Caenorhabditis elegans: one gene and its partner. The protein of the gene in region 2 purifies or fractionates together with the protein of the main gene of each other region. This does not show direct contact. Each region holds a gene or a part of one and is shown on either strand. Other genes may lie near its edges.

Region 1 (3,347 bases), on a different chromosome or scaffold from region 2:
CGAGATTTGCGTGAAGCTTGGCATTCCGAAAGCTGCGAGAAAGTTTGCAGCGAGATCCAAAATCCAGGGAAGACAGAGAAAAGGCGTCGATTGTAGGCAGGCCCCATTGCATCCGGGTTGTCAGAGATAAAAATGTTCCAAATATTATAGAAAAATTCCAATTATAGAAATGTGTACCTGGACAAGTTCATCGCGTGGAAAATTCATCACGATTGCGAGGTGAATCCAAATGGAGAATTTTGCCCGAAAACTTTGAATCGGAGAGCTTCTGCTTCTTGTCCATCCTCCTCCACATCTTCATCGTCTTCTTCGTCGTCGTCCTCGTCTTCCTCATCATCATCCTCTTCTTCTGAAGAATCCCTGGCAAGAGTGAGACCGGCTCCTGTAGAAACCACGACATCACAAGAAAATCCACAATCTTCCGCTAACACCTGGGAACTTTTGAACAAATTTTCCTCGAACGGAAGAGAGAAGAGTTTCCCTAATACCTTCTACGGAACAATTGGAAACTATTGAAATGTGATGATGATAACAATATAATAAATGAAATGATTTAATATACATGAAAAGAAGGCATAATTGATACGTGGATGAAAACCAGAGTTAGACCAAGATGTTGGAGAGGTTCGATCTGAAAAAAATACACGTTTAGTTTATAAAGAAGGATTTTTTGGTTAAATAGCTTTAAAATGGACCTATATAAACGAGTCTGGTGGTGAAATATCAAAATTTTTACCGCTCTTCAGTGCCGCCCGCATAATAATAATTAAATAAACATTAAGTTCCGACTGCTGCCAGCCACACAGTAAAGTAGGCAAAACTGAAGATTTTAGTCCAGATTTTAAAAACTTTTGAGCAGTTTCTTCACAAAACTTATTTTTAATTAAATCCCTTACAATTTCTTTCTATTCCCATCGTTAGGCTCATTCGGCGTGGTTTTCAAGAGATTGACGTCATCCGTCCACTTCGCAGATATTGCTTCCAATTTTTCTGGAGTAAATCAGATAAATTGTTTCAAAGACTATCAGCTTACTGTTAAATTCCCGCTCATTTCCAATTTTGTTCTCATCGTCCAATCTTTTTAGTTTTTCTTCCAGTTGCTCAGTTTCAAACATATTTTTGTTCAGTAGCTGTTGTTCGAATGACTGTTGCTCGTGGCGTTCTGAACAAATGTTTTGTTTTATGCACACATCTAAACAATTTCCTTGCAAATTTACCATCGATATGTTTTTGAGCATCGATTCTCGTTTTCATAATTTTTTCCTGGCATTTTTGGAGTTTCCGCATTCCTTCATCAACTAATTCGTCTTTCTCATTGACTGCCTTAAGACGATTAATAATCTTGTCCATATACTCGTTGAGTGACTCCATTTTGCCGAAAAACCTGCAAAAATTCAATGAAAATCGGTTAAAAACTAAGATAAATAAATAAAAATGCGACAGCAAAATTAGCAAAGATAAATTCCAACTCAAATTCCCGCGTCAAGAGGGCCAAGGTCTCGTCGCGACCATTGCAAATAAATGTGTGCGCCTTTAGGGTGTGCCTCTCGCACTGAGTCGATTTACGGCGCGGCGCGTTCAAAAAAGTGTCCAAACTGATTATTTAGACGGAAAAGTGAAGGAAAATTTCGGAAAATTATTATTTTTCCTTTTTTCCCATTGTTTTTTATGTTTCCACTTGAGAAAAGCCGATTTTCCGCTGGAAAATGAGTTTTATCCCATTATCGATTTTTTCAGCTTCAAAAATTAAGATTTCGTACTGTAGTTTACCAATCCTGGATCCTTTTTTAATGTATTTTTATCTAATAATGTTATATTCCGATTGTCATTTCTCGCAAATTTTATTGATTTTCCTCCAAAGACCATATGATGACGTAAAATCTTTTTTTCTTGGATTTCAAGCTCTTTTTCACAATTACCAGTGTTCTAATTTGATTTTAAATTTATTCCTTTCGAGGCTTTCAATATTTTTTGACGAACATTCTTAAGCTTATCGATTTTCGAAAAGTTTCGAAATTTTTTCAGATGGCTCCACCACGTGGCCGTTCAAAGCGAAAGCATCCGTCTGAATCCGGAAATTCTTCAATTGCCGATTCAGAAGACCCATCAGAATCCACATCATCATCTCGTCCACGCCGCAGTCGACTTCCGAAACGTTATTTTGACGACGGTTACAGTCCACCGCCAACAAAAAAACGTGCGGCTCAACGGGAAACACCATCAGACGCCGAGGAGGTGGAGGTGAAGATTGAAGAGATCTCGGTTAGATCTACACCTGCGTCAACACCAGCACCAAAGAGTACCTCGAAGGCTAGAGGGTGAGAAATCAAGAAGAAAAATAATTTCAGAAATTCCGCTGATTTCAGATAATTTTCAATTAAATGCTTTTTTCAAGTTTTAACGCAAATTCTTAGGATATTTCCGCTTTCGTCAAATTTTCAATCGAAAAAACGTATAATACGCTTTTTCACGTCGTTCACAACAAATTATTTAGATTTAAAGAAAAACTATGCAAACCCATTTGCGATGTACAAAAATTTGTCGTTTCGAGATCATATTTTCGCGCCTGGGTAATACCGAATACAACTGCAAAATGTTTCGAATTTTTGCAAATATTCAAATTCCGAAGGAACTATGCTTGCGTTCTCCGGCCAATTTTTCGGGTTTTCTTGATTTTTTCTCATTTTTTCAGAAATCGAAAATTCAAAATTCTTTTTATGATAGTTTTGCGGAAAAACGCCTGAAAACGAGGCTACAATTTGCATAATCAAGAAAAACAAAAATAAAGTGTTCCGCAAAAAAATTAAATTTTGTTTTCAGAAAAATGGAATTTTACTCAAAAATTGAGATTTTTTTTTCACAATCATGGATTTTTTTTCCAAAAAATTGGGAATTTTTCTGAAAAATCCCAATTTTGCAAAATTAAGAATATTTAGAAGCTATATAAATCTGCCTGTTCAGATTAAAAATAAATTCCATCAATTTTCAGCCGACCCAAAAAAAATCCAACTCCACCACGTCGCAAATCGCTAAAACGCCAAGAAGAAGACATTATCTACATGGATGAGGATTCTGAAGAAGAAGAAGAATCTTCGGACGATGAGTTCATGCTAAATGAGGATCAGGTTGTTCAGGAGGAAGAGGAAGAGTTGAATTTAACAGATATTAAAATCGAAAAAGGTCTCGACGAGGAGAACAAGTATTGTCCGTGGTTGGATGAAGATCCTGCAAGTCTACCAAAACTCGAACTACCAGAATCTAGTCAGGATATTCCGATTCCAACGGCTAGTATAATGGATGCTGTTGAAATTTACGAGATTCTCCGATCTTATCATCGAACTCTCCGC
Region 2 (4,381 bases):
CCACGATACACCTAGAAATATTTAAATTCAAGTGAATACCAAAACAAGAACAAATTATGATAAAACATTGTTCACTTAAAAAACAGGATCTCTCGTCTATTTTTGTGGGGACGATCCCCACAAAACCGTTATAAAACATTGCTTCAAAAAACTACAAAAAATTCAATTTTCAGTCGATCCAGACGATCTTATTGCTGAAACCCATGTAAACGAAGACGGAACTTTCGAAGTATCTGGATTTGCAATTTCAATAACTGCAATTGATCCCCAACTACGTATATATCACAATTGTCGTTCATCTTCCAAAGTTTGTCGACGCAAGATTACTTTCACTGTCCCAGACAATTATGTGAACAAGGGGATGCAGGTAATTGATGATACTTCATACTCCATCAAAATAATTTTTCAGGTGAATAAGTGGTTTGACTTAGGAGTTCCTAACATGGAAATCGGTGTGAAGCACAAAGAGGAACCACATTGTTATTAAACTTGCTTGAAACCATTTTTTGTGTAATATATTAAAGTTCGCTTTGCTGGAAATCATTGTTCATTGGCTTTTTATAAAATAAGTCTAAACCACAGAAATAAATGTTAGAGTCATTTTTTTTTTCTTTTAATGAAAGCTAGTATTATTCACAGAATGATTATGCCAAAGGAGACTAAAGAACCGCCTTTTCAATGCCAGCACATTGCACGTGGAATCCTATCTTTTTGTTCTGAAAAAATGAAAAATAGAATAGCTCAGTAAAATTGACAGGACCTACCTCAATCTCGGCGATTTCCACTACCATCAGATCCAATATTTGCCGGATTCCAGCTTCCAATTGAGATCTCTTTTGTATGTGTTCTTCTCCAGTTGCAGACATTCTGGCGGTCTCATCTTCGATTTCTTTCTCGAGGCTTCCATCAAGTTTCATTTGCTTTAGAAGTACTTCTTTTTCATTCAATAGTTGTTCATATCGTTGTTCAATATGTTTGCGAGCATCTTTCCAGCTATCACGTTCGTTTCGACGAATTCGTTCTTCGCGAGCCTCATTCTTCTTCGCTTCACAGAGTGTTTCGCTTTGAATTTGGATTCTTTCTCTGAATTATTGTTTATAAATGTGTATATTATTAACATTCAATGGAACGGCGCTTAATTCGAGTACAACTTACTCTGCGGTAACTGCTTTATTTGAAAATCTTGACTGTTCAGTCTCAAGCTCAAGCTTTCTCTGATGCAACTGTCGGCTGATCTCTGGAACCCATATCTTGTTCAACGTCTCCCAGTAATCCTTAAGATCTCTGAAAATGTAGATTTGTGAATTTTTAATAAATTGTTAGAAATTTACCTTTCATTCGTTGGAGCTCTTAGTGGTTCAAGATTCATTTGAATATTAAGTCCACTGAGAATTTTCATGATTTGTTCTGCGAGATGAATGAATTTGGACTTTTGCTGAAACATACAAATTTGATTGTCATACAAGTATTTCCGTGAATGATAGGCATTCAACTTTCCAAAAACCTAGAATACCTCTTTGAAGAAGTCTTCATCTTTGAGTTTCCATGTTTCTTTTGATAGACGATCCAACTCGCTTTGAATTTCCAGTACCACCTCCTTGTCTTTATTATTGTCAAGATTCATTTGACGCACTTCTTTTCCTGTCAATCCGTGAATTTGTTTTTGCAACTCAATTTTGTTCTTCAGATCGTCCACCATCTTTTGCACTTTTTCATTTTCTGAAATTTTCTCCTCTTGCTCCGACTTCACCATAGCCAGTTCTTTCTCCATATGCTGCTTAACATGAAGATTTTGCTCGAGATAATCTTTAGCTTTTCGGATGTCGTCTCTGATTCTTGATATCTCTTCTTTTAAGCTTGCTTCGTTTCCTTTCTGAAAATAAAACTTCTTTAAAACAAAAGTATCGAAATTCTACTTACATCAGCCTCTATCTCATCACATTCGTAATTGAGCATCTCCAGAGCTGATGCAGCTGTTTTAGTCATATCCTCGAATTCATTGGATTGCTCGAAATACTTCCGTAGACGATGCTTCGTGTCGTCCCAGTATGAAGAACTGGGATTTTCTGCTGCTTTTCGATCATTTGTATAATCTCTGAATGTACTTGTCATCCATGCATAATTGAGCGTTTTTTCTTGAGCTTTTCCCTGTTCCATGAAATCACCGAACAGGATATTTTGTGTGTCCTCACTGACAGCAGAATTGATCTAAATGGTTAAATAAATAGGGATGAAAATAATAAAAAAATCAGTTACTAACTCTAATGATATCAATAAGCCAAGAAAGTGCGTCAAGAAGATGTGGATATCCATGAGAAGATCCCATTGGTTGGTAGTAGCTGTTTTTGAGTGGATACGGGTATCCAAGACCTTTGAATATCTGGGACACCTCCTCTTCAATCCGCTCATGCCGTGGAAATTCGTAGTCTTTACTGAGATGTTGGTAAATTAATTCGAAACAAGCAATGAAATCATTCTTTCCACGAGGTTTCATAATGAGCTGTTCTGATGGTGCATCCGAGCTTTCATATTCCACAAGAAAGTTGTAAATTTTGCTTCCATTTAAGCTGACCAATGATTTCACATCTCGCGGAGCAACTGATGAATTTTTAGTATTAAACAATGACACACGAGGTTGACTCAGACTGGGGCGAGCGTCAGTTCTGCAAATTAGATTAGTTCTTCATCGCACGAAATTGGATATTTTTACTTTCTGACTGATGTTGATCCAGTATAATCGGTGAATCTTTTAGTCGGAGTGATAGCGATTGAGGCACGTCCGTTGAGATTCAAGCCGCCCGTTTTTCTTCGATCTCCAAACATTGTCAAGAAACTGTAATGAGCGAATAAAATTGACCAGAACTGAATATACTAACGGAAGGCGACGCATATAAAATTTAAAAAAATAATTCTGGCAACTATTGAGAACTTTGTTTTCCAACTTAAAGAAGAAAAAACATTTTTACAGAAATATTTATGAAAAAAAAAACGAAAATAGAAATTTGAGTAAAAACAATATCGAGAGAGAGAGAGAGAAGTCACATTTGAATTTTCCCGCTATAGCAATTGTGATTGGAGCGCACTTACATTACAGAGACGCTGCACTCGCGAGGAAACTGATTTCCGGAGATTCCAGAATGAAGGAATTGTTGGAACTTTTGAGATATAATTTCAAACACGATTAATATACAATAGAATTGAATTTTCCTACAATGGTTAGATCATTTCCAGTCGGTATATTGATAAACAGAAGTTGCCCCTTAATATTTGCATTTTTGTAATTGAAGTTTCCAGCCAATAATTACGTCAAATTTTTTTTCTTCGAGAAACTGATATAGTTTACAATAATAAACCAGTATCTTTAACCAATGGAGTGATAACACAGAACTGGATCCTCTTATTCTTTCTCTTTTCTTTCTCCTTAACAAGAACAATTATACCAGTTCCAAGTAATAGCCATGGACGTCTCTAGTATAAAAACATCAGTTCTTTTGGAATTCTTCAGTCCATCACTCACCCTCCAACAGTAATCATGGACATCGACGCTCGTATCAAAGCTTATAAATTTGTTGCCTATTCGGCAGTCACCTTCTCGGTTGTCGCCGTTGTCTCTGTTTTCATCACATTGCCAATGGTTTATAACTATGTTAATAATGTGAAGAAACAGATTCACACTGATGTTAATTTCTGCAAGGTTTCTGCTCGTGATATCTGGAGTGAGGTGCATCTTATTAAGGATGCTCCAGGAAACAATACTCGTGTTGCTCGTCAAGCTTATTCCACTGGAGGAGCTGGAGGAGGCGGAGGCGGAGGTAAGGATCTTGGTTCACAGAGTTTAAGTATTTGAATACATTTTCAGGCGGCGGAGGATGTGATGGATGCTGCAATCCTGGACCACCAGGACCAGGTGGATCTCCCGGAAAACCAGGAAAGCCAGGAAAGCCAGGAGCTCCAGGAGCCCCAGGAAATCCAGGAAAAGGAGCATCAGCTCCATGTGAGCCAGTTACTCAACCACCATGCCAACCATGCCCAGGAGGACCACCAGGACCAGCTGGTCCAGCCGGACCACCAGGACCACCGGGACCAGATGGAAACCCAGGATCACCAGCCGGACCATCAGGCCCAGGACCAGCCGGACCACCAGGACCAGCAGGACCAGCCGGAAACGACGGAGCCCCAGGAGCCCCAGGAGGACCAGGAGAACCAGGAGCATCCGAGCAAGGAGGACCAGGAGAGCCAGGACCAGCTGGACCACCAGGACCAGCCGGACCAGCCGGAAATGACGGAGCCCCAGGAACCGGAGGACCAGGACCAGCTGGACCAAAGGGACCACCAGGAGCTGCTGGAGCACCAGGAGCTGACGGAAACCCAGGAGGACCAG

What was found.
Region 1: the proteins of ndc-80 (region 2) and kbp-3 purify together in Caenorhabditis elegans (affinity purification with mass spectrometry, with the first as the bait; one study listed by BioGRID). This does not show direct contact.

Annotation. Positions count from the first base shown.
Region 1 is NC_003280.10:14,388,695-14,392,041, forward strand, and holds kbp-3 (Kinetochore-binding protein 3), read right to left. Parts: upstream 1,385-3,347; 5' UTR 1,372-1,384; coding exon 1,218-1,371; intron 1,163-1,217; coding exon 1,034-1,162; intron 991-1,033; coding exon 897-990; intron 632-896; coding exon 604-631; 3' UTR 542-603; downstream 1-541. Other genes in the region: F26H11.8 (uncharacterized protein), read left to right, coding at 1-130; nurf-1 (DDT domain-containing protein), read left to right, coding at 2,026-2,318, 2,990-3,347.
Region 2 is NC_003282.8:10,084,589-10,088,969, reverse strand, and holds ndc-80 (Kinetochore protein ndc-80), read right to left. Parts: upstream 2,834-4,381; 5' UTR 2,824-2,833; coding exon 2,711-2,823; intron 2,664-2,710; coding exon 2,261-2,663; intron 2,209-2,260; coding exon 1,921-2,208; intron 1,874-1,920; coding exon 1,514-1,873; intron 1,436-1,513; coding exon 1,332-1,435; intron 1,285-1,331; coding exon 1,156-1,284; intron 1,084-1,155; coding exon 765-1,083; intron 717-764; coding exon 660-716; 3' UTR 533-659; downstream 1-532. Other genes in the region: ttr-39 (Transthyretin-like family protein), read left to right, coding at 174-367, 410-487; col-2 (Cuticle collagen 2), read left to right, coding at 3,533-3,812, 3,860-4,381. UniProt on the Caenorhabditis elegans protein: Acts as a component of the essential kinetochore-associated ndc-80 complex, which is required for chromosome segregation in mitosis and meiosis and spindle checkpoint activity.